2 linked regions of the Nothobranchius furzeri genome follow. The protein of the gene in region 1 interacts with the protein of each later gene in a pairwise test. Links are inferred from orthologs where the notes say so. Each region holds a gene or a part of one and is shown on either strand. Other genes may lie near its edges.

Region 1 (3,564 bases):
ATAAATGGTTTATTCCTATAAATAAAGAATGAAGACTCTACAAACTTGTCCAGCTCATACCTGAGCGTAGATCTTGAGATGACCCTTGCCAGCCATGCGGGCATCAATGGTGAATTCAGTCGGTTTGTTTACAGTGACACCAGTCGGCAGCAAGCCTGGCCCGTAGGCTTTTACCTGTGAAAAATCTGTTTAGATTGCTGCTAAAAAAAATATTTTTCCAAACAAAAATAACTGGAAATTACTTTCTCAGGGAAGACACCATTTACAGCTGGCAGAATGTGAGCCATGAAAGGACTATCCTTGATGTCTTCGTCATCACAGATGACATGGACAGCGTAGTCACCAGGCTCAGTGGGCCAGTAGCGCACATCACAGGAGCCGTCACCCTTATCGTCACACTCAATCTTAGCCTGGGATGGGCCTTCGATGGAAAAGCCTGGAGAGCAAAATCATCACGTTTAACTTTTTAACTGATAGGCTTTATCCTGGTGTGGAAGTTAAAGGGTTAGAAATACAGTTGTTTTATTTCTCTTGTAAAAAATCTCACCCAGAGTTCCAACTTCAGTGCCGATTGCCTCAACCACAAAATCTGCAGATTTTCCCACCATGCCGGTCTTCAGACCAGGACCCCAGGCCCTCACCTTCTGAACGCCAGCTTCTTCACCTACCTCCACCTCAAAGGGGCTGTAACGCACATTAATGTTAGTGGGCATGAATATCAAAAAGAGCAGCTAAAGCCAGGGTTTCTTATACATTTGCCAACACAAAAGTCTTTTTCAAGCACTCATAACAAGATTATTACACTTCCTTGTTACATAGGAGAAAAGGTTGAGCCATAACCAAAACTTATAAAATATCACATTAAATTCTAGCACCTGCAAGGATTTCAAGAACCCTGTGGAGGGGATTTGAGGACCCTACCTGCGCGGAATTGGCTGGCCTCCCCAGGTGATGCTCACTGTGTATTTACCCGCCTTAAGTGGGTAATATTCACATTCATACACTCCATTTCCTGCATCTTGCACTTTCACATGCTCCTCTGCTCCAGCTGAGGAGGAATAATATTGTCAGCACTGATTCTTATCAGCATATCCCGCTTATTTGGTTTGTATACATATGTAAGTAATGCATGTTGACACAAAAGCTAAAACACAGGAAATACTTTTTATTTTTCACTGTACAAAAAGGAGCGAGGACTGATGCAGAGAGGAGAGAGAGAGCTGTCTGACTCACTCGGTCCTTTGACGGAGACGTTTAGTGCACCGCTGCCAGCTCCTTTGGTGAAAACTTTGAAGTCTGCAACCTCCTTCACTCTCACGCCTTTAGGCTGTAGCCCTCTGCCAGTAGCTCTGCAAGCATTTGGGTTTATGGCTACAAGAAAAAAAGTATGAAAGAGAAATTGATTTCAAAGAGCAAAAATAAAGAAATGAAAAAGAAGAGAGTAGCCAGAACTTTACAGAAAAGTTAGTAACTAAATCCACTTCACAAAGGACTCCAGACAGAACCTGCAGATAATCCTTTTAGAAGAACATACTGCAGATACACAACGCTGAACAATTCACAGTGCAGTGCAACAAGGGCACGTCCGACAACATTTCAGTCAGTCAGAAAATGTTGAGGGCAGGCTTTAAACTAAGTGCTGGCTGATGCAAATTTAAACTTCATGAAAAACAAACGTGTCAAAGAGCACAAGCAAAGATATTCAACAGAAAGGATAAAAAGAAACACAAACTGACAGGAAAGCAAACTGGAACAGTCTATATGTACACATCACATCTCGTCTCTCACTGAGCACAACTAAACCATCGAGCAGTAAAAAAGAGCGGAGCAGGCGACCAAGCACGGCATTTTAACCACCAGAACGTCAACTTAAAGCAAACAGGAGCATGTGCAGAGGTCTGGCACAGGAAGGATAGGCACTGGAATGATCCAACAAGCTCCTCCTAACAGATATGTACTAACTTGGACGGCCAGGTTTTGGTGGGGGAGCCCCCTTGCCACCCTTCACTCCCGGAGGGGTGAGCACTGACTGAGGAGCTATTTGCAGTGGCGCTCCCGTGGGAGGAGCAACTGCTGGAGCTAGAAATGACAGATAGGGGTGGTTATGGAGTGGAAAGCGGTGGCTGTTCCTAGGCAAAATAAAGATGGCTGTAGATTGTGATGGATAGATCACCCCGACACTAACAGCACGCTAGGAAATCAGATTTGTCTGACAGTTATTTACAACACAGACAGATGGCTCACCCTCTGCAATGTTGACAGTGTAAGGACTCTTGGGGATCTCCTGGCCTGCAAACAGGATGTGGATTTTGTGAGGGCCTTCCTGCACAGGACAGTAGGTGCAGCGGAAGACACTGTCACCCTTATTCTCCAGGATGAGCTCCACTGTGTCTTTTTTGCCCTGAGGATCAATGATGACCACACTGATGTCACCATGACCAGCACCTGAACAAAATACAGAATCAAGTTCATTCTTAAGCATCAGACTTGTAATAAGTCTATGGATATTTGATATCATCGGTCTACCATTAATATAGGCTGATATCAGCACCAAAATGTATGGTAAAATATCGGTTTTAATTTTAATGGTACAGCGTTTATACACCATACATGTGTTATATATCAAACTCTTCAACTACTTCTCCTCTCCTGAAATGTAAAAAGTTGACAGATCTGTGGTAAAGTTTTGATATTTTAGTTCATGTGACACAACTTGTGAAGTAGGAATTTGCCCTGTGCAGTGAGCGTATGTTGTCCTCACAGCACGTAGCTACATGTAGCTAAACAGCTAACAATATACTAGAACAAAAACAAGAAGTAGCTGTCAGAAAAGGTTTATATTTAAGCATGCACAATCGGAAAAATGTGGTATTAGTAACCTAAAATGTTTTAGCTTTTCTGTTTTTTTATGAGAGGGATATATCGGTATGGAAATTAGGAGTCAAACTATTTGGTGTGTCTGATGTCGATAAAATAAGCCTATATCAACGAGCATTCCTTAAATGTTTGGAGTCTATGACACCATGTGAGGGCTACTAAGATAATTTTGTTTATTTTGAAATAGGAAAACCTCTTTGATCAACAAAGTGGCTGAAGTTTCATCCCAACTCACCAGCTGTATAGATGTCAAAGTAGGTGGGTTTGTTGGCTATGTTGCCTGTTGGATCCAGACCCGGTCCCCTAGCGTGAACTTTACTCGGGTCACCCATCACCTTTGCCACGTTGACAGTGTAGGGGCTCTTATCAGTGTCCTGACCTGCAAACAGCACCTTCACCTAAAGTTGACATAAAAATAAAATATAAGATAAAAAAAATTGGGTTTTAAACCAAGAGTTTATGTTATTCATCGTGGTTGTTTGTTTGTTTTACCTTGTGGACGCCCTCAACCTTTGGAACATAAGTGACAGTGTAGGTTTTGTTTTTGTCCTTGTTGGGTTTAACTTTAGCCTGGGCAATAAGCAGAAGAGTGTTCATTTAGACATGAGACTGTGCAAATCCCTGTGAAGAAGAAATCGAAGGCCCCATTAATGACTTGCCTCCTCTTTGTGACCTTCAGGATCCTCC
Region 2 (4,187 bases), on another chromosome or scaffold:
ACATCGAGAGGAGCCAGTTGAGGTAGCTCGGGCATCTGGTCAGGTTGCCTCCTGGACGCCTCCCTGGTGAGGTTTTCCGGGCACGTCCAACCGGGAGGAGACCTAAAGGTAGACCCAGGACACGGTGGAGGGACTATGTCTCTCACCTGGCCAGGGAATGCCTTGGGATTTCCCCGGAGGAGCTGGCCCAAGTGGCTGGGGAAAGGGAAGTCTGGGCCTCTCGCCTTAGGCTACTGCCCCTGCTACCCGACTCCAGAAAAGCAGAAGAAAATGGATGGACATTAAAATATAAAATCCCAACAGGTAGGCTAAAAAAGTCTTAAGTAATCCCACGTGATCTGTTCACAATAGTGCACTGGTTGTTGCAACTGTAGGCCATGAAAAAAAGAGGCATAGTTGTCCGCCCTGCATTGACAAGTGAGTTTGGAAAGTGAGGATCCTACCCAATGTGGCGGCAATGCCACATATGCCTTGAAGCACACGTGTTGTATGGGGGATAAGGAGCCTAAGTCATGCCCATCTACTCCCTGGCTATGTGTCCTCGAAGGAATGAAAAAAGAATGCAAGTCAGCGTGGCTAAAAACTTTATCTTCTAATTCTATTTATTATGTGCCATGGATTTCACATATGATGTCCGTGAACTTTAAAGAGACAATTTGATACCAATTACGCGCTTATTTTTGAATTGGGGGGGGGGGGGGGGGGGGGGGATTTTAGGTTTTGTGTGAAATTATGTCCAGGACTACTAATGCTCAACAACAAAGTGACGTCGTTGAGCACCTATCGCTTTCCACCCATGTATTTCGGTGCAGCATTTATAAGAAAGAGTTGTACTGAGAAATGGTAATTTCATATTTGCATAATTTCACTTCCTGCCTTACCAATCTGGCTGATATGTGATAGGTCAGTTATGATCTTGGAGGGCTTTTTCCGCTTGTTTAGGGGGGCAGGTGTTCCCAGAGGCATGACTGGAGGGTCGGGAAGAAAAATATACAATGTTATTCCCAGGTACAGAAACACAAAACAGCAAACCTGCATTCAGTTTTTTTTCCTCATCAAAAGAGAATATTGTAAATTTAAAGAACATTAACCCTCCCACTGTCCTAATAGGTGTGACCCTGCAGGGAAAGTTGGCCATTGAGCAGAGTTGATGGTTTATTCCTTGGGTCCATGTGGCAGGGTTGAGGAGTGAGCACCACCTCACCCCTGCCACCCCGCGGGGTCACTCATAAAGACAGTGGGAGGGTTAAAACAATAACTTCAAGAAATGTTTCACACTTCTGGATAATTAATGGAAAACGACAAGGTACGAGTTGCAATGTAAAGCCAGAAAAAGGATAAAACTTATTTTTTTCTTAATGAGCTTGCAAAAATTTGCACCGTGTTAAATGAGCTAAAATATGGTGTCTGTGGTATAGAACACACCAGCAGGATGTTTTCGTTTCAGTTCAGAGCTAATTTGCATGAACCTATCAAGATAACTCCACAACACCGACACTCCCACCCAGCATTAATCTCTGAACCTAAATGTACAGACACCTCAGACCCTCCTAATTTTTCATCTTCAGGGTGGGGTGTCGGTGCCCCCGGATTCCCCACATTCCCCCGTGGATGAAATGCCTTCGTCAAAGGAAACCTATAGCTCACTGCTTCAGTTTTGTTTGTTGACACGAGATCTGTAAACAGAAAGAGCCAGCATAAACAGATGGTTTAGACAAATCCTGCTCATCTGCTCTATATTAAAATTAGGCGTCATAATCTCCAGTTTGTGTCTAGTAATGAGGAGAAATCCTTCCCTGCGTCTCAGATGTCAAGTAATGTGCAAGCTTCAAACACATCAGCATCTACTGACACGCTTGGCATGTTGGCAATGAAATGCATCTTTAAATTTGTGGAATTACATCAATATGTTTCTGTTCTTTGACAACTAATATTTGCAGATTCAATCTGGAGATTGTCTTTAAGGCCCAGTCAAGTGGCAAAACATCGCATCCAGTGGCTGTAACTTAACCCACCCCAGCTATTTTTAAAAGCCACTTCCAGCCAAGACATTTTAGCGACACGCAATGGCGTCATTCGAGTGTCAAATGAGCTCAAAAGGACTCTTAAGAGCACAAAACACACCTCCAGAAAAGTGTTAATTACACACGTGTGTCAACAGGATTGAGAGCTGAATTGGGTGATGATAATGAGGATTTCTGAAGCTGTTTTAATTCTGTTAAATAATCCCAAGGCAAGAGAACGGTATGCTCAGATTTACCCCCACCCCCTCTAAGGGTCTGATAACACCGTATTAAACCTCTGCAGCACTAAAAAGAACAGTCAGCACATTTACACTTTCATTACGTGTTTTTAAAACACACACACACACATGGATGTAAAAATTTTCTAATCAGTTTCTATCTTTTTTTTTTTTGCTTGAACAATTTTTTTAATGATTCATCCACTTTATCTGCACATCCCAGTGAATTTCTGATTGTGCAATAAAATAGCCAAATCTTCAAATGTTGTTCACCTTTGCTGTATGCAGAGTTGAAATCAAACGACTGACAACTGTGTTCAGATCCACTCACCGGCTTTCTGTTGTGATCCGGGCGAGGTCAGAAGGAACTATAAATACCAAAACCGTGAGGAAGATATTGATCTTGATCACCGGTGTAGGAATCCCTCAGTGCCTCAGACCCTACGTATGGCTGGACTCAGATCCCGGGAAGTGCAGAACCTACCCAACCCTCGGAGAGGAGATCTTCCAAAAGGTTGGGTGTGTGTGTGGCAGGAATTTTGGTGTCAAGACCAAGAGGAGGAGGAGGAGGCAGAAGTCATTAGAAGTCTCTCTTGGCCAGCTGAAATTGCTGATGGTGATATTAAGGGAACAAAATCATTCTCACAGATGGCTCTAAAGCCTATATTTAGTAGGAATGAATGAGGGGAACAGAACCTAGTCATCAGACAACCTCAACCTCACAGGACTTTTGGTGTGTTCAGGGCACAGAGCAAGACAAGGAGAGGTGTGTGTGAGTGTGTGTGTGTGAGAGTGTGTGTGTGTTTGTGTGTGTGTGTGTGTGTGTGTGTGTGTGTGTGTGTGTGTGTGTGTGTGTGTGTGTGTGTGTGTGTGTGTGTGTGTGTGTGTGTGCGCACTATGGTTAAGGTTAGGGCTAGAGTATGGGTAAGGCATAGTGGAGTCCCAGAAATGAATGGAAGTCAATGGAGGGTCCACACAAGGATACAGAGACAAGTGTGTGTGTGTGTGTGTGTGTGTGTGTGTGTGTGTGTGTGTGTGTGTGTGTGTGTGTGTGTGTGTGTGTGTGTGTGTGTGTACCGGTGTCGGTACAGGATCAGCTTGGGGCCCTTCGACTCGCGATGACGTCAAAGTAGTTGATTAGCTGAACATGAAGCTTACGGAAGTTACGTTATCACGTTATGATTTTGATTGGTCAGAACAAATTTGCGGTCGTAGTCTTAGCGGCTGTAGTCCTGTAGTCCAAAAATCAACACTTTTTGGCGAAAATATGTTTGAATTTCTAAAGGAAATGTAAAATATAAGCAAATGATAAACAGTGACCCTCAAAAGCTCTTGATGTTGATGAAATGGGGCAAAATAAAATACAAGAACTTCATTGATTGACACCAAGCAATGTTTTGAGTCAAATAATGTATTTAGATAACAAGTAAGGAAATATACAGACGAACTCCACATTAATACAAACAGATATGGCTGACATAAGAACTGTTCTATTTTTTGTCAGTCTGATGCTGGTTTTATGCAGTTTCACATTCTTTACAAAACAAAGGTAATATGGTGTTTTATTAACAAATTACAATTGTAAAGAAACATTTAGGTGTTAACCAACAAGAATTTATTAACAAAACTGCTGATGTCTTTCCAAAACGTATGTGTGAAAGCCGAGTAGATTTGCAGTCGTGTGACGTCATCGGCAGTCGAAGGACCCCGAGCCGATCCTGCACCCGAGCAGATCCTGTACCGACACCGGCCTGTACATCAAAGTGAGGACCTAAACAAGTTTTTTACCTGCAAACTGAGGACATTAGAAGCAAAGTGAGGACATTTTGCTGGTACTCACTTTGGGACAATGTTACAGAGCTTTACTGGTTAGTTTTAGAGGTGTGATGTGAATGATTAGGATTAGGAGTATTATTATTCTGATTCTCTCTGCAATGTTAAAACA

The links. The genes of interacting proteins can lie anywhere in the genome.
Region 2: the proteins of filamin-C (region 1) and myoz1a interact in a two-hybrid assay, tested with the Homo sapiens proteins (2 studies listed by BioGRID and IntAct). The link is inferred for Nothobranchius furzeri from reciprocal best matches to the Homo sapiens genes FLNC and MYOZ1.

Annotation. Positions count from the first base shown.
Region 1 is NC_091744.1:62,143,129-62,146,692, reverse strand, and holds part of filamin-C, read right to left. Parts: coding exon 3,537-3,564; intron 3,448-3,536; coding exon 3,370-3,447; intron 3,276-3,369; coding exon 3,113-3,275; intron 2,446-3,112; coding exon 2,245-2,445; intron 2,080-2,244; coding exon 1,963-2,079; intron 1,372-1,962; coding exon 1,234-1,371; intron 1,049-1,233; coding exon 922-1,048; intron 685-921; coding exon 548-684; intron 437-547; coding exon 243-436; intron 175-242; coding exon 61-174; intron 1-60.
Region 2 is NC_091752.1:26,534,041-26,538,227, reverse strand, and holds the start of myoz1a (myozenin-1a), read right to left. Parts: upstream 2,802-4,187; 5' UTR 2,574-2,801; intron 969-2,573; 5' UTR 967-968; coding exon 882-966; intron 1-881. UniProt on the Homo sapiens protein: Myozenins may serve as intracellular binding proteins involved in linking Z-disk proteins such as alpha-actinin, gamma-filamin, TCAP/telethonin, LDB3/ZASP and localizing calcineurin signaling to the sarcomere.